Anolis sagrei: one gene and its partners. The protein of the gene in region 1 purifies or fractionates together with the protein of each later gene. This does not show direct contact. Links are inferred from orthologs where the notes say so. Each region holds a gene or a part of one and is shown in the gene's direction. Other genes may lie near its edges.

Region 1 (7,879 bases):
ACATGTACAATATATAAAACTACCAGGAGACGTTTGTTCAAAGTTTTATTATGCAAAGCTATCAGTATGCTGTTGACACACAGCTCTCTTTTTCCTTTTCATCTAATCCAGTCACAGAGTGGGATGACCTTGACAGGTGCTCCGAGTCAGTAATGAATTAGATAGAAGCTAATAAACTGATCCTCAGTCCAAGAAGAATGAATGCCAGACATTAAAGGAAGAGATGCTCTAGTTGTTTGTTTGTTTTTTTATGATTAGGTGTACTGCTCAAAAAGAAGGAAGAGATGACCTTTTGCATTACAACTCCCAGAAACCATCTTCTTGGCACCTTTGGACATCAAAGAAGTGGCTAACAGATGTGGCACCCTTGATTTGGTAGTACGTCTCCCATGACATCTGCTTGGCATCTTTTTTCCCCTCCTGCATTCACCAGTAAAGATATGCCTATACAGACTTTGGGTTGAATCATGTGTGCTGCTATGTAGTTGTTATTGGGTGCCTTCTAGTCATTTCCTGGCGTTAAGGCCAACTTACAAGATCATTTTCTTGGCATGATTTTTTCAGAGGAGGTTTGAGAATGTGACATGCCCAACGTTACCCAGCGGCTGAGTAGAGATTCAAACTTGAGTCTCCAGAGTTGCAGACTAATGCTCATACAACAACAGCACATTGGCTCTTGGTTATCATATATGTATATCTCCTTCTAAACCACAACAGAAATAATAACAACAACAATAACAACAAAAACTTTATAATACCCCACCACAATCTCCCAGAAGTACTCAGGGCAGATTACAGAAGCACATACAAGTGCCATAATGCATAAAAATAAAGATAAAATTACAACGCATATTAAACAATGACATCAGTAAAAACAACCTATTACAAAAAAATCCAATTTAAAAAGAAACAGTACAAATTGCCATAAAAATGAATAATACAGCATCCCAGTCGCAGCCAATTCAACCAGTGAAAATATTAGATTGTTTAGTCCTTTGATTGGCAGATGTCTTACCCATTTCCAAAGGTCTGCCTGAAGAGCCAAGTTTTCATAGCATAATGGTGTAATGGTCTGAATATTAGGCTAAATAAAACTCTGAGAACCAGCTTTGAATTCCCGTTCAGTCACAATCTCTCAGCCTCAGATGAGTAGTATTCTGTTTTGGTAAGTTTCCTCACTTTTTCCGGTTGGCTGTACGTTTCTGGAACACTTCAGTCTTCTGTAGAAATCTATAATGCTCTGCATTGCTTTCCATAGTTCTTTAGTGTTTTATGGAGATCTTCAGTGCTGTTTGTTACTCTGGAAGTACTGTGGCAGACCTGAAACCAAGTGAAGTAACTGAGGAATTAGGACCACCAATGTAACTATTTCACACCCTTTGACAACCAGTTCTGACAAAACTAAGATCTCTATTCAAGCAGCAAGAAAAACTGCTGACAATGTAGACTGTCTGTTCTCATACATAGTACGTCCTTTGTTCTCAGAATGAAGGAAAACTTCCCATTAAAATTTCCGTATTAGTTGTACAGTTGCCTCTCTTGTAGTAGAAAAAATCAGAAGACATGGTATGAATTAAAAGCTTCTGTTACCTATGTCATAATTCAATGTTGTTGTGTTTTTTTTAAAAAAACTTAAACAGAATTTAATTTATTAATTACTTGGATCCAGGCTATATGAAGAATTCTTCCCACATAGTGATGAGAATGGGTTTGTTTTGTTGTTATTTTTTGTTTGTCTGTTTGTTTTGAGGAACAATTTTTTCAATGTTGCCACTCTCACATAAGCATTTGGTAAGGATTTAAAGGGCTTCCTCTGTGGTTGCTCTGATGCTATATAGAGGGCTTTCTGGGTGGCTGTTTCAAGGTCTTGGAGTTCCTTCCTGCAGGAAACTAAGCCAACCTCTGCTCTGAGTGCATCTGCATTGCAGAATTAATGTAGTTTGACACCACTTTAATGGCCACAACAACAACTTTATTTTTGTACCCCGCCTCCATCTCCCCAAAGGAACTCGGGCCACCTTACATAGCAGCAAGCCCGAGATTCAGTGAGGCTGTTAAAGGCTCTTTCCTAAACTACAAAGCCCAGAATTCTGCATGAGGTAGCAACTGGATTTTAAAAAAGGACTCTAGTTGAACAATTGATGAGAACACAAGGTGCAGTTGCTTCTACCCACGAACATCAAGTTTCCTATCTATATACTGAAAATAAATAAAAACAATATCTAAAAAGGTTTTTACTGTATTTTATTATTAATATCAAGTTAATGCAGAGTGTATGGTATAGTTAGTATGAGGTATAGCATTAGGTAAGCCTGTTTTAATAGTAACTCTCAAGCAACCAGAAATGACACTTGTCTACCAATCCCCATGGGTACTGGTTAACAGGCCCCTTCTGCACTGCTATATAATCCAGATTATCAGAGTAGATAATCCGCATCTGCTTTGAACTGGAATATATGAGTATACACTACCATATACTCCAGATCAAAGCAGAAAATCTGTATTTTATATATGGCAGTGTAGACTGGACCCGAGAGTCTTATCTTATTGTAATATTCCTGCTTCTTGGCAGGGGGTTGGACTGGATGGCCCATGAGGTCTCTTCCAAATCTTTGATTCTATGATTCTATTCTATGATTCTATGACTGATTCAAACCCTATTTGTTTCCACTGTGAATTGTTTGAGCACTCCAATGCAACATCCCAACCATCCTTTGATACCAGTAATTACTGTGTATCTCTCAAGGATACTATTGTATATCACATTTTTAAAACACCACTGTAGGCTGATTGATACACATATCCAATCAAAGACACATCTTGCAAGCATTATGCAATTTGTGGAGGAGCAACATAATTCTCACAATCGCATGTGGCTCATAACCAGCTTTAACAAATTACGACCTGCCTTGGCAAGACCATAATTTTGCTAATCACTATGGATTAAACGGGAAATGAGCTTCTTTGGCACAAGATAAAGTGATTCCTTCTATATTTTTTTATTTAAAAATACATTTAATTAAAATCTTCGCACCTCACATATAAAAAGTGATGTTGCTTTTATGGGACTCCTCTACTTTAAAAAGTTGCTGACACTTTTATTTTTATCACTAGCGGAGAAGACTCAACAAACCCAAACAGTACATTTTAAAAACACCAGTATAGGTGTTTTTTAAACACTTCCACACAGCTGAATAAAATCCCAAATTATATGCTTTGCGCTGGAATATATGGCACTGTGGACTATGCTAACCCCAATTCAGAGCAGATATTTTGGGATATAGGGCTGCGTGGAAGGCTCCTTGGTGGGATTTATTTTGAAGTGAACAGAAAACTTGGTCCAGCTTATAAAAAAACCAGTCATATTTAGAAATTACTCCCATTGAAATCAAGGAACCGTAATCCTATAATGTCTTCAGGGTAAAATAAGATGCATTAGGTTCAATGAGGCCCCTTCTACACTGCCATATAAAATCCAGGGCCCTTGCACACAGCCCTATATCCCAGAAAAATCCCACATTATCAGAGTGTGGACTCATAATCCACTTCAAAGCAGATATTGTGGGATTTCCTGTCTTGATATTCTCCAATATAGGGCTGTGTGGAAGGGCCCCCAGATTATCTGCTTTGAAATGTATTATATGGCAGTGTAGACTCATATAATCTAGTTCAAAACAGATAATCCCACATTATCTAAGTGTGGACTCAGATAATCTAGTTCAAAGCAGATATTGTGTGATTTTCTGCCTTGATATTCTGGGAAATAGGGCTGTGTGGAAGGCCCTGGGTTATCTGAGTCCACACTGCCATATATTCCACTTGAAAACAGAAAATGTGGGATTTTATTTAGCTGTGTGGAAGGGGCTTTTGTCAACTGCACTGGCTCACTGCGATGGAGTGACGGGAGTTGTAGTTTCTGCAAGGTCATCTAGGCCAAATAAATAACTCACCAAACTACAAATCCCAGCATCCTGTAGCATTGAGCCATGGCAGTGTCAAACTGCCATTGTTCTGCAATAGGGATATTCAAGAAACCAAAACAAAAACCACCCAAAAGTGTCTAAGGCCCCTTCTACACTGACATATAAAAATCCAGATTATCTGTTTTGAGGATCTGGATTTTATGGCAGTTTAGATCCAGCCTTTGACCCCTTCTACACTGCCATATAATCCAGATTATCAAAACAGACAATCTGCAGTGGATTATATGAGTCTACGATGCCACATAATTCAGATTAGCAAAACAGATAATCCACATTATCTGCTTTGAAGTGGATTATATGAGTCTACGATGCCATATAATCCAGATTATCAAAACAGACAATCCGCATTATCTGTTTTGAAGTGGATTATATGAGTCTACGATGCCATATAATTCAGATTAACAAAACAGATAATCCGCATTATCTGCTTTGAACTGGATTATATGAGTCTATGCTGCCATATAAAATCCAGATTATCTGCTTTGAACTGGATTATGTGACGGTTTAGACACATATAATCCACTTCAAAACAGATAATGTGGATTATCTGTTTTGAGGATCTGGATTTTATGGCAGTTTAGATTTAGCCTTGATATTCTGGGATATAGGGCTGTGTGGAAGGGCCCAAAGTGGTGTCAGGCTCCATTCATTCTCCTGTGCGGATGTATAATCCCGGCTCAGAGCCGCCCGGGCCGGAAGAAGCAAAAGGCAAGCGAATCGAGGCGATGATTGGCAGCCGCAAGTCACGTGATGGTCCCGGGCCGTTCTGAGTACCCCCCCCCCCCGCCCTTCTGCCGTTCCTTACCTTGTCCCTCCTCCCCCCGAAGTTGCGAGTCCCAGAGTCGGCGGCCCTTCAGCGTCATGTCTCACCAAACCGGCATCCAAGGTACCTCTCGGGTGGGTCTCCGGGTCCCCCTCCCTCCGCAATTTGCTCCAGGCTCTTCCTTCTCTCTGCCCTCCCTCCCCCCGGGCCGCTTCCCCATTGGATCCCCCCGCCTCCCTTTCATTCTCTCTCCCTTTCTTTCCGAAGCCGGCCCGACATGGACCAAACCATTGTCTGGCGCGGGGGGGGGGGGGGGAGTAGGAGGAGTGGGAAAACAAACGCTTAGTTAGACCGAACTTCTAAAACTCGCCCCCTCTCTCATATTTAATTCTTTTCGATTGTATTTCCTCCGCATAGAACCCTTGAGAGGGTGCTTCTGAGCATGTACAGAGTGCTTTCCGCAGTTTAGTAACTATAGGGCGCTCTTAGAGTTAGCCACAACTTTTTAAAGCCTGGAGAGATAACGTGGGGGGCCCTCTATGGGTGCATCCAGATGGGGGAATGAATGCGGTTTGACACTTTCCAGGCTCAAAGCTATAGAAGCCTGGGAAGTGAAGTTTAGAGTGCTTGGACTCTTTGAAAACTGCACCTCCCAGCATGATGTCCCAAAAGGTTCCTATATATATATAGGAAACATTAAGTCCTATTATGTTTTAGTCTATACCTTTTTAATATATTCATGTATTTTTAAACTTTGAGACTGTTTGGTAAATATTTTGTCATGAATGCTTTGTGAATAAAGGTGTATTTAGATACAATTTCCCTGTGTATGGTGACTTTTTAAAGGATACACTATACATCCATGCTACAGTGTAGACCAGGCATGGGCAAACTTGGCCCCTCCAGGTGTTTGAACTACAACTTCCAACATTCCTAAAAGCCTCAGGCCTTTTCCTCAGCAGCTTTTTAGTGCATCCTTAAAAAGTCACCATACATAGGGAAGTTGTACCTAAATGCACCTTTATTTACAAAGCATTCATGGCAAAATATTTACAAAACTGTCTCAAAGTTTACAAATATATACATATATTAAAAAGGTATAGACTTAAGCAGCTGAGAAGGAGAAGGAAGGGGCCTGAGGCTGTTAGGAATTTTGAGAGTTGTAGTCCAAACCCCTGGAGGGCCCAAGTTTGCCCATGCCTGGTGTAGATAGTGCTCCCCCCCACACACACACACACATTTTCTCTCTTAAGGAAAAGTTATTGAGAATTCTGAAGGCACTGGATCATGTCTGGTTTTGGAAGCTAAGTGGTGTCAACTCTGGTTAGAATGTGGATGGGGAGCCGCCAAGAAAAAGCAGGGGCTGTGAGCTGTATTTCAGAGGAAAGAGCTGGCTAAGCCACTGTTGAGAATTAATTGACCATGACATGCATGTTGATGTGCGACACAAATGCACACACAACTCCCATATTCACAGCTTATGCAAAACACTGTCTCTTCCTGCTGATCTGAGGATTGATTGAGGTCCAGAGTCCTGGCAGTGGAATTTGCACCCAAACACGGCTTTCCTTCAAAGGCCGTACGTTAGAAGTGACTTGATGGTACACAACAGCAAAAAAAAAGTACACACCCAGAGTTTGCATGGGCAAACTTTGGCCCTCCAAGTGTTTTGGACTTCAGCTCCCACAATTCATAACAGCTGGTAGGAATTTGCACCCAAACCCGGCTTTCCTTCAAAGGCCATAAGTCAGAAATGACTTGGTGATACACAACAACAAACAAATACAGTACAGACAAAGAGAGTGTATCTACACTACGCATGGGCAAACTTCAGTCCTCCAGGTGTTTTGGACTTCAGCTCCCACAATTTCTAACAGCTGGTAGGAATTTGCACCCAAATCTGGCCTTTTTTCAAAGGTCATAAGTCAGAATGACTTGATGGCACACAAGAACAAACAAATACAGTACACAAATAGAGTGCATGTACACTAGGCATGGGCAAACTTCGGCCCTCCGGGTGTTTTGAACTTCAGCTCCCACAATTCCTATCAGCCAAAACACCTGGAGGGCCAAAATTTGTCCATGCCCGATCGACACTGTGGAATGAGTGCAGCTCAACCCCACTTTGACTGCTACGGATCAGTATTGTGCAATACTGTGAAATCATTGGAGTCGTAGCTTCATTATGTCTTTGAGCTTTATCTGCCAAAGAGTGCTGGTGCCTCACCAAACTATAGCTGCATCTGCACTTTAGAATCAGTGCAATATGATACCACTTTAACTACCATGGTTGAATGCAATGAAATCCTAGAAGGCACCAGCACTCTTTGACAGAGAAGGTTAAAGGTCTTGTAAAACTACAATTCCACTGCTTCCTTAGCACTGAGCCTTGGTACTTCAAGTGGGGTCAAACTGCGTTAATTCTATAGTGAAGATGCAACCTTCACCTGCCATGATTCACCTGTGAGTCACAGCTGTGGTGTCAAACTGCATTCATTCTACAGTACAGATGCCTCCCAAGCCTTACTTTTGTTGCATTCCTTACCCTATATGGGGACTGAGCCACTGGAACCTCCTCTTCCTCCTTTGTTTGGATGGGAAGGATAGCCCATTATGGGATTTACATCTTTGTGAGAAGTAAGGGCCTAAATACACTCAAGGCACCTTCTAGGAAGCTAAGCAGGTCCAACTCTGGTTAGTTTTTGAATGGGAGACTGCAAATGAATACCACTACAGGTGCTGTAAGTTATACAACATTACAGAAGACTCATGCTATTCTGTGCATGCTGGCCTGACATAAGTCGCTCTTTGTTCAGAAGGCTTTATTGGTAGTTCTTTAACATTTATCTACCTTTGGTCTTTATAAAAAGAGCCTAAATACCCTAAAAGGTACCAGATCCTATCTGATCTTGGAAACTAAGCAGGTCCAGCCTTGGTTAGTCCTTGGATGGGAGACCAGTAATAAATACCAGGTGCTGTAGGTTATATTTCTGAACAAGGAAACTATCCAAGCCATCTCTGAATATTCCTTGCATAAGAAAACCATATAAAATTCTGCAGAAGGGACATAATATGTGTCCAAATAGATACACAACCTGTACTTTTGGTCACTCAGAGGTTCATATAATTCAAT
Region 2 (7,849 bases), about 6.1 Mb from region 1:
ATCAGAAGATTGAACCCAAACCAGCAGTAACCCCTAAACTTTATTGTATCTATATATTGTCGAAGGCTTTCATGGCCGGAATCACTCAGTTCTTGTGGGTTTTTTCGGGCTATATGGCCATGTTCTAGAGGCATTTCTCCTGACGTTTCGCCTGCATCTATGGCAGGCATCCTCAGAGGGTGAGGTCTGGAGCTGGGAAAAAGGGGGTTTATATATCTGTGGATCATCAACAGTTCATCAACAGATATATAAACCCCCTTTTTCCCAGCTCCAGACCTCACCCTCTGAGGATGCCTGCCATAGATGCAGGCGAAACGTCAGGAGAAATGCCTCTAGAACATGGCCATATAGCCCGAAAAAACCCACAAGAACTTTATTGTATCTAACCCTTCAATAAACTGTATCAACTTTATGATTTTGTGTAACTTCTATCTTTTAACTATACACTGTATATATTTTCTATATACACTGTATAAGAACTGTTTAAAAAATGTACAAAATGTAGCCTAGGGAAAGCCATCCTCCATGACCCTGCTAAAATAATCCCCTAAGAATAGAAAGGTGGGACAAATCCCCTTGGCTGTTTCCCATGCCAGATAAGAATCAGATTAATTGTTTATATGTAAAGGTAGACAATCTCCCATGCCAGCCAGATTAGCTCAGAAATGCTTGTGTGATTCCCCCAAAGACTTAAACATATGTGCATTCATTAACACTTTTATTTGACAACCTAACTTTTGATTACCCAGGATTGACCCCTGATTGTTGTACCTTTGCTTCCTGAGCCCTGTATCATTGTTTGGCACAGAATTGGACAGCTGAGCTAATTAAAAGTTCATCAACATATCCCTAGTATTTTCTTCCTGGGGGAGTCCCAAAAGCCCTTTTCCTGACCAATCCCCAGCCAATATTCGTGGCATAAATCCTGTCAGCCTCTTTTTTGGCCAATCAGAGGAGGGAGCAGGAGGTTTGAATGGCTGTCAGAACTGTATAAGATATCTTGCCTTTCTCCATACCGTTATGCTTGTACATTTTGAAGCAAATTATTTACACTTGTATCCTTTTTGGCCAAATCGCAGTCAATTTCAGTGGCTTGTCTTCATCCTGTTGAGTTGTTTCTCTGCCCTGGCCCTTCTGGTTTTAGCATATGCTTGTCGAGCGTGGATCTTAGGTAAATCACTGCAGAATGAGGGTACCAGGTCAATTATACAGTCATATGGTCAGTATGTTGGGAAATTATCAACCTCCTTGTTAAGAAAGACTTCTGCAAAGTCCTGATATTTTCTTAGCAATGTGACAGGGAGTTCAGCTGGTTCTGAGTCTTGAGCAGCAGTCACCTGCTCTGGTCTGCAATGCTCCTAATAAATAACAACAACAACAACAACAACAACAACAACAACAACAACAACACTTTATTTGTACCCCGCTACCATCTCCCCAAGGGACTCGGTGCGGCTTATATGAGGCCGAGCCCAAATACAACAATACATGCAATAATAACAACAGCAATTAAAATAAAACATGGACAATAAAATAACGCAACATTAACAATAAAACCACACGATTAAAACTGTGGGAAGGCCAAATGTAAAATTAAAATTGGAAGTAGTGCTGGAACATGGGAGAAAAAGTGATGGGGCGTTTGTGGAAAACATACAGATGGGGCGTTTGTGGAGAACATAAAAAATATCTGCCACCTGGAGCAAGAGATATGGGGTTCATGTCAGATGAACCTCTTTCTTTCATTCCTTCTTTCGCTCTTTGGTTTCATCCTTCCTTCTCTCTTTCCTTTCTTCCCTCCTCCTTTCTCTACTTCTTCCTTTGTCTCCTTTCTTCCCTCCCTGTTTCCATCCTTCTTTCACTTTTTCTTTCCTTTTCTCCTTCCTTCCTTCTTTCAATACCTCTTTTTTCCCCTTCCTTCCTTCTCTCCTTCCTTCCTTCCCTTTTCCCCTCCCTCCTTTCTTCTCTCCTTTCTTCCTGTCTGTTTTCCCCCAATACCATGGCAGAGTCCCTTCTAAGTCTATTCTATGAGTCTATTTAATATAGTAATATATAGTAGTAACATTATATTATATAGTGCTGTATATAACAATAATATATATAATGTAATATATATGATATAGCAATATATATAATAGTAATATATAAAGTATTACACACACACATCACACCAACATCCATCTGTGTGAGTGTCTACACTGCCATATAATCCAGTCCTAAGTAGATAATCTGGATTTTACATGGCAGTGTGGAAGGTTTGATTTTGGGTGCATCTACACTGTAGATTTAATAAAGGAGGATGAAGCTGGTGAGGGAAGGAGAAAAAGGAAGGAAAGAAAGGGAGGAAGGGAAGGAGACATGCAGGCAGCAGCAAACATTGCAGCCGCTGCTGCTTCGGAACCCTCATTCTGTGTCCTCAGTGTGAGGGGGGTAGGGGAGGTGTGTTGTCTTCTTCCTTTTTTGAATTTAAAGGTGTTTCGTGGGATTTTTCAGTGATGATCACTCCTTGGATCATGAGGAGTTTTGTTGCCAAATGTGGGGTCATTTGGCCCTGTAGTTTTTGTTTTGTTTTTAAGGAACTCATTATGCACAGAGCATTTATATATATATAGATATAATATAATAATGTGATATAGGAATTCAAGGATGGGTTCAGATCATGACTCAATCAAATGCACAAAGAAACATCCACGTTTTCAATTCCTTGTGGTATGCGGCTAGGGAGGGTGCCAGCCTAATCTCCCTGGGGAGGGAATTCCAGAGATTTGGGGCCACCACCGAGAATGCCCCCCCCTCTCGTCCCCACCAGCCGCGTCTGAGACAGGGGTGGGGCAAGAGAAGAGCATCCCCAGAAGATCTAATCTTGTGCTATGCTAATAATATTTTATATGCGCATATGCTATTGGTCATAATATTGTAATACAATATAATATTAAGTAATTATATATTACATGTATTACTAATAATATTGTAGTGTAGTGGTATCGTACAATATAGTAATATATAATACTAATATTGTGCAATGCTAATAATATAATATACTAGCTGTCCCCTGCCACACATTGCTGGGCCCAGTCTGTTGATCTGGAAAATAAGGTAATGAGAAAGTGTTGGTTTCTAATATATATAATTCCTTTATGCTTGTGGGTAAACAGTATTTCTTGCTGTTTCTTTGTCAGTGTTGATGTGGAGAGTGTCTGGTTTGCCTACTCTGGAACATGCAACATACAATTGTCCTTCTTTAGGGGTCCCTTTCAAATCTATGATACTATATCTGTGTGTGTGTGAATCCTATCTATCTCTATCTATGGCTGGATGGCTCTTTGTCAGGAGGGCTTTGATTACATTTCCTTGTCCTGGTGAAGGGAGTTGGACTAGATGGCTTTGAGTATTTTCTGTTGGTCATGGGGATTCTGTGTGGGAAGTTTGCCCCGATTCTGTCGTTGGTAGGGTTCAGAACGCTCTTTGATTGTAGGTGAACTATGAATCCCAGTAACTACAACTCCCAAATGTCAAGGTCTATTTTCCCCAAACTCCATCTGTGTTCATATTTGGGCATATGGAATATTCGTACCAAGTTTGGTCCAGAGCCATCATTGTTTGAGTCCATGGTAGTCTCTGGATGGAGGTGAATGATAACTACCAAACTCAAGGTCAATGCTCACCAAACCCTTCTAGAGTCTTCTGTTGGTCACAGGAGTCCTGTATGCCCCGGTTGGTTCAATTCTATCATGCTATTTGATTGTAGGTGAACTATAAATCTCAGCAGCTACAACTCTCTATCTATCTATCTATCTCTATGGCTGGATGGCAGGACTTTGATTACGTTTTCTTGCCCTGATGAAGGGAGTTGGATTGGATGGCCTTTAGTATTTTCTGTTGGTCATGGGGGTTCTGTGTGGGAAGTTTGCCCCGATTCTATCGTTTGTGGGGTTCAAAATGCTCTTTGATTGTAGGTAAACTATAAATCCCAGCAACTACAACTCCCAAATGACAAAATCAATTTTTTTTAAGTGAGGGACATACATTGGGTATGTTAGGTGTCTTGTGTCCAAATTTGGTGTCAATTCGTCCAGTGGTTTTTGAGTTCTGTTAATCCCACAAACGAAAATTACATTTTTATTTATATAGAAGTAATATTACTAATAATATTGCAGTATAGTGCTATCGTACAATACAGTAATATATATTACTAATATTGAGTAATGCTAATAATAGAATATATTGTATGTACAAATAAGCCACTCTGAGTCCCCTTAAGGGTTTTCTTTTTTTGTCGTGTCAGGAGTGACTGCAAGTCGCTTCTGTTGTGAGAGAATTGGCCGTCTGCGAGGACGCCCGGATGATTTGATGTTTTTATCATCCTTGTGGGAGGCTTCTCTCATGTCCTTCCTTAAGAGTGAAAAGAGTGGAATATGAATGTCGTAAATAAATAAATAAATAAACCCAGAATATATGGCAGTGTGGACTCAGAAAACCCAGTTCAAAGCAGATATTGTGGGATTTTCTGCCTTGATATTCTGGGTTATATGGCTGTGTGGAAGATTCTTCCACATAGCCATATAACCCAGAATATTAGTGAGTGCAGGAAGGAAGCCTTTCCCAAAAAAAGACTGGAACCTGCCTCGTATCCGCCCTTACTCCTGGAAAAGGCTTCACTCTGCATGTGTGCGCATGCTCGCGCTCCGGCTTTCTATTGGCTCCTCCGCCGGCTCCTGCGGCGCGCGCCCCCGCCCCTTTCCCTCCCTCGGTGGCATCCGGAGCCCCGCCCTTCCTGCTGCCGCTGCTGCCGCTGCTGCTGCTGCTGCTCGAGCGCGGGGCGGAGGCGGGCGGCTGGGCCTTGGCTGCTGTTGCGGCTCTTCCTCCTTCTCTTCCTCCTCCCGCCGCCTCTCCTTCTTCTCCTCGAGGGTCAGAAACGAAGATGGCGGACCTGGAGGACCAGCTCTCCGACGAGGAGAAGGTGAGGGGGGCCCAGAGGAAGGGAGAGAGAGGCGGGAGGCCGAGGGAAGCCCAAGAAGGCGAGGAGCCTGAGGGAGCTTCCTGGAGAGGGCAGGCATAGGGGCCAGAGGAGGAAGAGGAAGGGGGCCCTCCTGGCGCCCTCTTGCCGCCTAGGCCTCTCGCCGCTCCTTGTACGGTCCGAGCGCTGAAAATAGGCTGGGGCCGATCTGGTGTCTGGGGGACGAGCCAGCAGCCCGCTTCCTCCTCCTCCTCTTCCTCTTCTGTTCTCCTTTTCTGCTGCTGCCTCCATTGGCGCCTCCAGCCAGCCCCTGCTTTCCTCTGGCCTGAAGTAGGCGAGAGTGTCCTGGCGGGGCAGAGGCACTCTAGGTCGCCTTTGAACTGCCAGGGCTCAATGTAGGAAGATCCTGGGAGTTCTAGTTTCACAAGGCCTCGAGCCTTCTCTGCTCAAGAGCGCCTCACTCCAAATCCCAGAACCCCATAGCATTGAGCTTTGGTAGGGAAAGTGCAGTCACACTGCACTCAATCCACAGTGCATTATTATTATTATATTTATTTATACCCGGCTTTATCTTCCCAAAGGGGACTCAGGCCCCTTCCAGAAAGGCCCTATCTCTCAGGATCTGATCCCAGGTTTTCTGTTTTTTCCATATTATCTGGCAGTGGAGACTCGTATAATACAGTTTTAAGCAGAAAACCTGGTATGAGATCCTGGGATATAGGGCCTGTCAGGAAGGGCCCTCAATATATAGATCTGGCTTCTGCAAATTTTGGCCTTCCAGGTGTTTTGGACTTCAGCACCCCAATTTCTAACAGGAATTGCCTGGTGTAGATGCATCCTGGGATTCGTAGTTTGTTGAGGCACCTATTTTCTTCCCCTAAGTGATGTAGTCACACTGCAGAATCATTACAGTTTGAGACCGCTTCAATTTCCAGGGCTCAATCTGTAATATTCTAGGATTTATCCAATGCCAGGACACCACAGCTCTCACAGGGCTTGCGAATGCCAGAGCTTGATGACATTTTTTCTCCTGTCGGGAGCAACTTGAGAAACTGCAAGTCGCTTATGGTGTGAGAGAATTAGCCATCTGCCCAGATGTGTGATGATTTACCATCCTTTTCTCATGTCCCCGCATGGGGAGCTGGAGCTGACAGGGGAAGCTCAACTTGCTCTCCCCAGATAACATTGAGTCATATCAGTTTAAAGTGGTGTCAAACTAGTATATTTTTGTCATGTGACCAAATAATAATCATAATCCAATTTATTTATATCCTGGCCCCTCCTCCTGAAGGAACTTGGGGCGGCTCACAGTGGAAACATTTTTGGAAAATGGCATTCATAACCTTTTGGAAAGCGCCTTTTGGAGAATAGCATACAACCAAATATAATTATTCAGTTGTTAGACTGAATAACCTATTATATCTGCTCTTTTAGAAAAACAGAGATTTTACCAGCTCACAAAAACTGCAGAGTTTGAGAAGTGGGTTTCAGTGCCCAAAATATATACACTCTCCCATAAAACAGCTTGTTTTATATCATGCACTCAAGAGTGAAAAATGAAGTAGACTTTGATAAAAATAACATTTGGTTTGCTCACAACCTTCATGTGTTCAGTATGCACAGGTACAAAACTTATCAGTCCCGTTTCAAATATGTTTGAGATAATTCTTTGTGTCATCCCGCCAGAGCATCTCTCTTGTAACAAAATAGCTATCAATACCTCACATAGTCAAAAGGAGAGAGAAAAAGAGCATATGGTCTGCAGCCCCTTTTACAACTTTTCATTGAAACATAAAGGAAGCTGCATACCAGAACATACATTCAGGAAACAGTAAGCAACAGAATCATAGATAAACATTATTAGAGAAGGCTTGAAGAAGGTTGTCATTTCCAACAAAAAATACAGTATACATAATAATAATCGGCCAACCAAGACTGGTTCCCTCTAACCTGCAGTCCCCTCCAGTCTTCGGGTGTGTTTTGGGCAGGGCAGCCGTGCCACTTCAGCTCTGGTGAAAGAAAAGAGAGAGAAAAAGAATAGATAAGCATTGCCCTTATCTGAAATGCTTGGGACTAAAAGTATTTAAGATTTTTTATTTCCCCTCCTGATTTTGGAATATTTACACATAATGAGGATCGGAGATGGGACCCACCTCTAAATACCACATTTATGTATATTTTCTATACGTCTTGCACACAGCATGAAGGTAATTTTATGCACAATATTTTGGATACTTTCAGGCATGAAAGTATCCACTGCTTTGAGTTGCCTGAGGGCTGAGAAAAGCGGTATATAAATAAATAAATAAATAAATTCCATGTTAAGAAAGATGACTTAGATGCCCATGTTATAATAGATTTTGGAGCATTTAACATTTCTAAATAAGGTATCCTCTGCCTGTATAGATAGCATATCAACATTTAGTGAATATCATTTGATTGCCCCTCATGTCATCATCCATGGGGTCCAAAACAATTTTTACATGGTGATGATATTTTTTTGTCTCTTAAATCTTTCCCCTCTCTTTAAGTGATGATAAACACCTCATGGATGTGTAAAAGGTTAATGAATCCTTGACAAAGAGGTTTATTTCCGGTTAATTGTTACAGAAGATGAATACATGGTATAATATATGTTCATTTTGAAGCTACATTTCAAGCTTGATCCTCTGAGGATGCATCTAATCTGTAGAATTAATGAAATTTGACACCACTTTAAGTGCCATGGCTCAATGTTATTGAATAATGGGAAGTGTAGTTTGGTGAAACTATTTTGTAGAGAACTCTAAAGACCTTGTCAAGTTATTCCATAGCATTGAACAACTAGTTAACGTGTTGTCAAACAGCATTAAATTTACAGTGCAGATGTACCCTATATGATTTGGCTCCAAA
Region 3 (7,612 bases), on another chromosome or scaffold:
ATGCGTTTTCGCACGTGTGAGAGAGAGGGAGGAGTGGGAGAGAGAGAACCTGCCTGCCCAAGCTGCTGCCTGCCCTCGTCCTGCATCCCTCATTTCCTCCACCTCATCCTGTCCTGAAAGAGAGAGATTGAGAGAGAGTCAGACAGACAGAGAGCATAGTGGGCCCAGACCCCTCACTTGACAATCATTCCCACTGGGGATGCAATACTTATGGTTCCCTTTCAGTACTTTAGAAAGATTCCATTCCATGGATTTAGACCATTGCCCACCTTTCTTTCTTTTTTCTTTCCTTTTTAAAACATAGAGTTCCTTTCTGCATGAGCGCTCACTGACGGGTTAGGATCTCTTCTCCTGCTGGGAAGCCATTTTTTTGGTGAAATGGACTTGCCTTACCACTATCATTCTTGTGCCAGCTACAACCAAAGAAGGGGATGATACTCCCTAGCTGAACAACCTCAGCTATTATCATTGTTGTGAAGATACCTGGCCTTCCCTAGTTTTCATTCTCCTCAGTGTGTGTGAATGCTTGCTGTGAGGTCCTTGGTGACAATGGTTTTTTTTTTCTCTCTCCAAAGTCTGTCGGATTATGTCTTGTTCTCTTTTCTCCCTATTTCTTTTGCAATGCACTTATCCACTTTTTCCTGCCAAAAAAAGCATTGCAAAATATGCCTGTGATCAAGAATGGATCAATGTTGTGCCAGTCTATTTTGCCTTTTGCTCATATTGCCACACTTAGCATCAGGAGTCCACTCCAGACATATTACAGTAACAAAATGGTTTTTCCCAAGCTGAAACATGGGTTTCTCTCAAAACTTCCGATTTGGTAATATAATGTTTTCAAATTAAGATAACCCTGATTCCAGGGGGAAAGTAGCTGTTGCTAGGATAAAATATTGAGCCATATGTTGTGACAGGCCAAGTAAAATGATGCTAAAATGCCACAGATAATAAGTACCAGCTTCATTGGCCAAAATTGTTTCTTCCTCACAATTACATGGAGATGCAATTCACTCCTCGGCTCACAGTGTTTATTTTCCAGTAGCTCACAACTTCTGGGCCAGAACTGAACCCAAAGCATCCTTACCAAAGAGTCATTATTTCTGTTTTGATCAAAGTGTGCTTCCCAGAACCGTCCTGTCCGGCTGGGAGACTGTAATTCTTTGTCGCCACAATGGTGACTTCCTTCAGTGCCTAATAAAATAAATCTTTTAATTCTTTATCACCTTTGTGCCATATGATCATTGCTGAGATTACACAGGGTGTTGTATGGGGAGACTAGATTTGGATAAATCAAGTTCAAACTACAGGTGAGGCCATGATGCGGGGAACTTTGAAGCAAAGCTGGTTCTGTTACCTTCTTCCCAATCAGAACCCTTGTGTCATGCTTAGATGGGAAAATCAAATCGGTGTTCTCATGGAAATGCCACATCCATGTCTCCATGCCTCGGTATTCTTGTCTTTGTTATTGGCACAGTTGAAAAAGAGGACAATACTGGTGTTTCAGTTGAGCACATGCTGGGAGGTAATGGTGCAGGACATCAAAGTGGAATGGCCTCGCTGGACAGCAAACATCCAGAACATCTTTTTGTTACAAGTGGCCAGGAGTTCACTTATCTTGCTCTTGGCCACATTTAATGAAAAGCCAGCTGTCTCCTGGAATATGTTCAGCATAAATAAGTAAAGAGCTTTAGTGCAATGATCATTCATAAGGTACAGAAGAGGAGGGCTACATCAAGATTTAATGGAGGAAGGTATTAGTGCATTGGCAGTGCATTGCATTGGTCAAAGTTCTAAAAAAATTGCACCTACTAAGGCAGCATACAGAGAGTGGTTTAGTGGGTCGATTATGACTCTCTAGACCAATGTTTGAAACCCAGATGAGCCACTGGATGGCCTTTGGCAGATTGCATTCTCTTAGCCTCAGAGGAAGGCAAAGGCAAAACCTCTGAACGAATTTTGCTTAAAAAAAACCCCAAACAAACCCAGTGAATAAGTTTGCCTTAGAGTTGCCGTATGTTAGAAACAAAAGCACATGTGCTGGTATACATTTGCATCAAATTTCATAGTGATGGAAAGTGGCACAAATTCAGACATGCTATTTTCTTGTCGAAAATTTCCCTCCCCACATCCCCACCCAATTCTGAATTCAGGCACTGTTTCCTCTTCCTATATGTATTTTTTTAAATGAATCCTTGCTGTGCAACTTAGGGAAGTCTTTCCTGTGCTTCCTTCTTTTCAGACCTTGCTCTTAATATAAGTCCTGTGTGGTTGCCTATGTTTTACTGAACTCTCAGTGGCTTATTTCTGTGGCAGTCTAACTTCTGCTTTAGTGGTAATTTCTGATCCTGTATTTGGTGAGTGATACTTCCTTGGTGTTTGCAGCTTCTTGCTATTGTGAACTAGTTTATGCTGCCTTTGATTTGCTGAGCATGGGACATAATGTTAAAGTGGAGGTTGCTTCATCACAGAATCTTTTTGAGCACTTGATGCTCCATCTTGGGAGAGTTCTGCCCCCTCCGCCGAGGCCCATTGCAAGGATGCCATGTACCTGTTTAAGTTATGGAAGTGGGTGGGGTTTTTTTAATTTCCCCAAGCAGCCAAAGTATCATAACATCCACATAGTAGATCAATTCTTGAGGGACATAATCAAAAGGGAAATAATTAGTTGATAATCTATAAGCAGATGGGAATCCCAGCCAGACTCCATTCATAAATTACAGTAGGGTGCATCAGTACTAAAAATAAAATACTAGGGTTGCAGAGCTGGCAAATGTTACCTGGCGGACTGCAATCCAGAGGAGCTCAGCCACAAGCTTTGCTGTATGGAGGACTTGTCATTGAAATTAAAGTAATAGTCTCAAATTATTATTTGAAATCTTGAATACTTTTGAAGTTATATGCCATTTTTAGATCTCTGCCCATTGTGTTTGGCATGTATCTAATAGTCAATCTTTGAAGAGCCAGGTGTCCGAGAAAAGAAATGCAGTGCTAAGGGAGAACCATGTAAACACTCTCCCACTTGGCAGATGTTGGCACCTACTTCACAAGGTGCCTTGAGAATCCAGCTGCTGCCCACACAGTATGGGGGCGAGCCTGTGCCTAACTTCAAGGTCTTCTGTGAAAGAGACTCTGGGAAGTAAGGTCTGTTGCTGTTCTGTGCCTTCATGTTGTTTCTGACTTACGGCAACCTTATCCCAGGGTTTTCTGGGGCTGAATGTGTGTCACTCAACCAAGGCCACACAGTGGGTTTCTATGGCTGAGCAAAGAATCAAACTCTGGTCACCAGAGTCACCGTGCTCAAACCAGTGCACCATGTGTAGGAGTCTGAAATCCTCCCTTGTTCCTAACTGGACATTGAGGAAGGCTGGAACAAGTCATAATGGCCTTATTCCAAACAGGATTTTAGGTTATACAGTGATGCCAGCCAGGCTGATGGGTCTAAGAGCAGGGAGAGCAATGATTAACAAGATTACAGTGTACTTCTGTATGTACTACATAGTTTTGATCATTCAAAGCTAGGCCCTAATTGCTCTGTTGCAACTATCAAGTGTGCCATTGGCACAACAGGGATGGCTAGTAGGTAGCTTGACACATCACACACTAAACTTAAAACTAAACCAGCAGTGTCAGAAGATACAAGACAAATTCTGAATAGGTTCTGCAACTTCTATGTGTGGAAAGTGATAGACCTTCTTGCAGCTATTTCAGTGGTTCCCAGCCTATGGTCTGTGGACCACCAGTGGTCCACAAGAGCAAAAATATGGTCCATGGCCTCACCATTACTACACTGCTGCCTCAAAACCATGTAGCAATGAGAGCGATGAGGATGTTGGGAGGGGAGAGGCCGACTACACATGAAAGATTACTGCTACCACATCAGCTCTAGATTATTAAATATGGTTTTCTGTGGGCAAGCAGATGGTGACTACTGGATGGCATCTGTTCTGTATCAGAAACTAGAGCTGGTGTGGTCTATCCAATGCAGTTTTCTGAATTGGCACTCCAAACAACCAAACAATCTAAAGTTGACCAAAAACTGATTCGTAACCCGTTTGGTACTAATCTTGGAGAGTGGTCCATGGTCAAAGTGGTCCCTGGTCAAAAATAGGTTGGAAACCACTGACCTATTGGGATTGATGATGTGAAGTAACTGTTCCTTATCAGGAAGGATGCCGAGGTCCCCCTGAGAGCTTTGAGATGGGATGCGGGAGGGAGGGGCGGGGGGGTGGGTGCTTGGATGGTGTGTCCCTGCCAGGCAGAATGGGGTTGGACTGGATGGCCGTTGGGGCCTCTTCTAAGTGTATGATTCTCGGTGCTGGCATTCGCCTGGGCGTCTTGGTTGCTCTGAACATTTCAACCAGGAGACACAATGTTGTGGCCTCTACAGAAGACGCTGACAGTTCTGCTCCGCCAAGTGGCTGAAGTGATGCGAGGCAAGATGGCTGATGGTCCCCATAGGCCCCCACATGTGGACAGAGGAGGAGGAGGAGGCGGTGAGAGGGGGAAAGAATTAGGGTGGGAGGGGGAGTATTGTTGGGTCGGCGCTAGGACCCGACGCGCTGGCAGGCGGAGCCTCCTCTCGCCTCCTCGCTCGCTCACTCGCTCGCGCGCGCGCCCGCTTGCCTGCCCGCCGTTCTTGCTGCTGCTGCTGCTGCTGCATTGCCTCGGAGGCGAGCGGCAGAGGCGGCCTTTCTCCGCCCGAGCGCCTTGCCTTGCCTTGCCTTGCCTTGCCTTGCCGAGCAGCTCAAGCAGCCGCAGCATCATCCACCCCCCTTCAGCCTGGCCGGCGGCATGGCGGGCATCAGCTTCAGCGCCAACCGCCTGGAGCTGCTGGCCTCGTACCAGGAGGTGATCGGGGAGGACAGCCCCACCGACTGGTAAGGCGGGGCCCCCTTCCTCCCCCCCCCCCGGGGTCGGTGTGAGCATTGGGGGAAAGTAAGGACGGGGAGGGGGGGGGAAGTGGGTGCCCCCATCCCTTTGTCCCCGGGGCGGAGGGGAGGGGGCGGTGTCCGCGCCGCTTTGTGCCGGGGGGCGTGGGCGGCGCCTGCCTTGCCTGGGAACCGCAGCCCTTCTTCCCAGGCAAGCCCCCACCCTCCAATGCACAGGGAGGGGGCACCCTGCGCCTCCCACGAGCGCGATGCCCCAAACCGGGGAGGGAGGGAAGGAGGGGGGAGCCATGATCAGAGCCCAAAATGGTGCATTGGCCAGACAACTGGGTCGGGGCCTCGGGTGGGTGGGCGGGTAGGCTTGGAAGGGGAGGGGGCTCCTGAGAAGCCGCAGAGAGGCGCGCGGAATGGACAGCGTCACCCGAACCCCTCTTTTGCCTTTGGGGCAGCCCGTCATCCGCCCCCTTCCCCGGACCCAGGCGCGAGCACGGGCGCGCGCTCCCACTCGTGACCCCCTCCCCAACCCCCCTCCCTGCCTCCCCTGCGCCTCCTCCCTCCCTCTCTGCCTCCTTGGGCCGGGATGCGGCGGCGGCGGCGGCGGTGGCAGTGGGGGCGGGTCCCCTCCGTGCCTTCCACCTGCTCCTCGCTCCCCATCGCCTGCTTGGCCCCGGTGTCTTTGTATGCAGACTCGAGACAAAGACCCATCTCTGCCGTGAACCCCCTCTTTCCCCAATTCTCCCTATATTTTTTGGGGGGGAGATGAAAGTTATCTGATGGAGACGCGCCACACAAAGGAAGGTGGGGCCGGTTGAGGAAGGAGGCGGGGGTCTGGAGGCTGGAGGGGAGGGGCTGGAGGAGGAGGAGGAGGAGGAGGAGGAGGAGGGCTTCGAGGAGCGAGGAAGGAAGGAAGGAAGGAAGGAAGGAAGGAAGGAAGGAAGGAAGGAAGGAAGGAAGCAAGAAGGAGGGAGGGAGGGGTCTGCCGTCTGCGAGAGGAGCCGAGGAGGGGGCACAGGCAGCCCCCCCCCCGGTCAGAGAGAGGGGCAAGGCCCTTCAGTGCCGCATCCTCTCCGTGTCTTTCCCCTTTCTCTTTGGGGGTGAGCTGATGGGGCCAAGACCCGGTTCCCTTTGGCAGCCCTCCTCTGAGCCTGGGCTTCGCACAGCAACGCCTTCAGATGTGCCAAGCTGAGCTGTTCTTTCTCATCTGGGCCTTGTGTCTGCCTGGAGAAGCCTCCGTTTGAAGGAAGGAGAGATGAAAGGGGGAGCGCCTCCTGCAAAGCCTCCAAAACAATAGGCATGTGCCCCATTTCCAGAGGCAGGCAGGCAGGGAAGGGGGGCTGGTGCTCCTGAGGAGGCCTGCCTGTGCCTCTTGCCCATTCTTGTCTGGCACCCCTTGAGCCAGGACTGTTCTGGGAATCTTCCCCTGTTCGCTTTCTTCCTTTGTCTGGCAAGGCTTGGAGACTTCCTGGGAAATGATTACATGGCCTTTGCAGCTATGGCTCCGACACGTGCCTTCGCTGCAAAGATCTTCATCATTCCCCATTAAGCAGTTCTGTGCGCGAACCTTTTGTGAGAAGAAGTATCCGATGCAGAGCTGCTAGCAGGACCTCCTTGGCCAGAAAATCTACGTATCTTTTCTTCAAGCAGGTGTCCATTATGCAACAGAGATTCTTTGCCCTCTTATTCCTAGACCCATGTCCTCTGCTAGACAGCGGTGGTGACACGGGTACCTCTCTAACTTGACAGCACCGTGACAGTGCTTGGACTGCCATGATTGTAGGGAATCCTGGGATTTGTAGTTTGGAGAGGCACTAGAGCTCCCTGCCAGAGGATTCTAAATGCCCAATGAAACTACACATCTCAAGATGCCATCAGATTGTCTCTTGGCACCTGAACTGGTATCAAATTGTGTTGCGTGAAAGAGATCTAAATCACTGTCTTTCAGCTTTAGTGTCTTCCATGTGTAAGGAATAATAGAAAACACTTTGTCTTCATGTGTTACATTTATGACTGACAACCATTGCATCTTGTACCAGGTTCTGGGATGCGTCACTGAACTTGATTCTTATTGGGTTGCTGTGAGTTTTTGGGTTGTATGGCTGTGTTCCAGGTCTCTGAACAAACCTTTGAGGATGCCTGCCATAGATGCAGGTGAAACATCAGGAGAGAATGCTACTGGAACATGGCCATACAGCTCAAAATACTCACAGCAACCCGGTGATTCTGATCATGAAAACCTTTGACAACACATTGATTATGATTCTTCAAAACATCCATGATCAGTGCTTTCTTTCAGACCAATTCCACAATGTTAGGTTTTTTAAAAAACCTTTTTGAAAAGAGAGAGACGGAGTACTGACTCAGAATGTAAACGCAGAGATGATTGTGATTAAGGGTTTCGTTTACCTTGAATCACTTCTCTTCACTCCCTCAGTCTTCACTGACATGGGCAGGGTGCTTTCTCTCTTGCTCCTTGTTCCCTCCTCCTATCCCCTTCCCTCTCTCTCCAAATAGTTTCTTCAGCCTCCTGAGCCTCTTCATCTTAGCCTACCACACCCTGCCCTTCGTGCTGCTTCTCTCCGCCTGCCAAGAATGCTGCTCCCTGGACCACTGTTGTGGTTTCCTCTTTTCACTCAGGTCGCAGGAAGCTCTCACATCTCCATAAGCCAAAATCCATGCAAAAGAACTACACAGCCCTGGTTTGCTCCAGTATAAGGGCCATTCCTGTA

What was found.
Region 2: the proteins of TWF1 (region 1) and CAPZA2 purify together in Homo sapiens (affinity purification with mass spectrometry; 3 studies listed by BioGRID and IntAct, with this or other methods). This does not show direct contact. The link is inferred for Anolis sagrei from reciprocal best matches to the Homo sapiens genes TWF1 and CAPZA2.
Region 3: the proteins of TWF1 (region 1) and DBN1 purify together in Homo sapiens (affinity purification with mass spectrometry; 3 studies listed by BioGRID and IntAct, with this or other methods). This does not show direct contact. The link is inferred for Anolis sagrei from reciprocal best matches to the Homo sapiens genes TWF1 and DBN1.

The regions. Positions count from the first base shown.
Region 1 is NC_090025.1:137,173,047-137,180,925, reverse strand, and holds the start of TWF1 (twinfilin-1), read left to right. Parts: upstream 1-4,785; 5' UTR 4,786-4,844; coding exon 4,845-4,869; exon of another isoform or gene 4,870-4,874; intron 4,875-7,879. UniProt on the Homo sapiens protein: Actin-binding protein involved in motile and morphological processes. Inhibits actin polymerization, likely by sequestering G-actin. By capping the barbed ends of filaments, it also regulates motility.
Region 2 is NC_090025.1:131,056,522-131,064,370, reverse strand, and holds the start of CAPZA2 (F-actin-capping protein subunit alpha-2), read left to right. Parts: upstream 1-4,768; 5' UTR 4,769-4,921; coding exon 4,922-4,960; intron 4,961-7,849. UniProt on the Homo sapiens protein: F-actin-capping proteins bind in a Ca(2+)-independent manner to the fast growing ends of actin filaments (barbed end) thereby blocking the exchange of subunits at these ends.
Region 3 is NC_090022.1:76,843,726-76,851,337, reverse strand, and holds the start of DBN1 (drebrin), read left to right. Parts: upstream 1-4,608; 5' UTR 4,609-4,791; coding exon 4,792-4,877; intron 4,878-7,612. Other genes in the region: PDLIM7 (PDZ and LIM domain protein 7), read left to right, coding at 1-20. UniProt on the Homo sapiens protein: Actin cytoskeleton-organizing protein that plays a role in the formation of cell projections. Required for actin polymerization at immunological synapses (IS) and for the recruitment of the chemokine receptor CXCR4 to IS.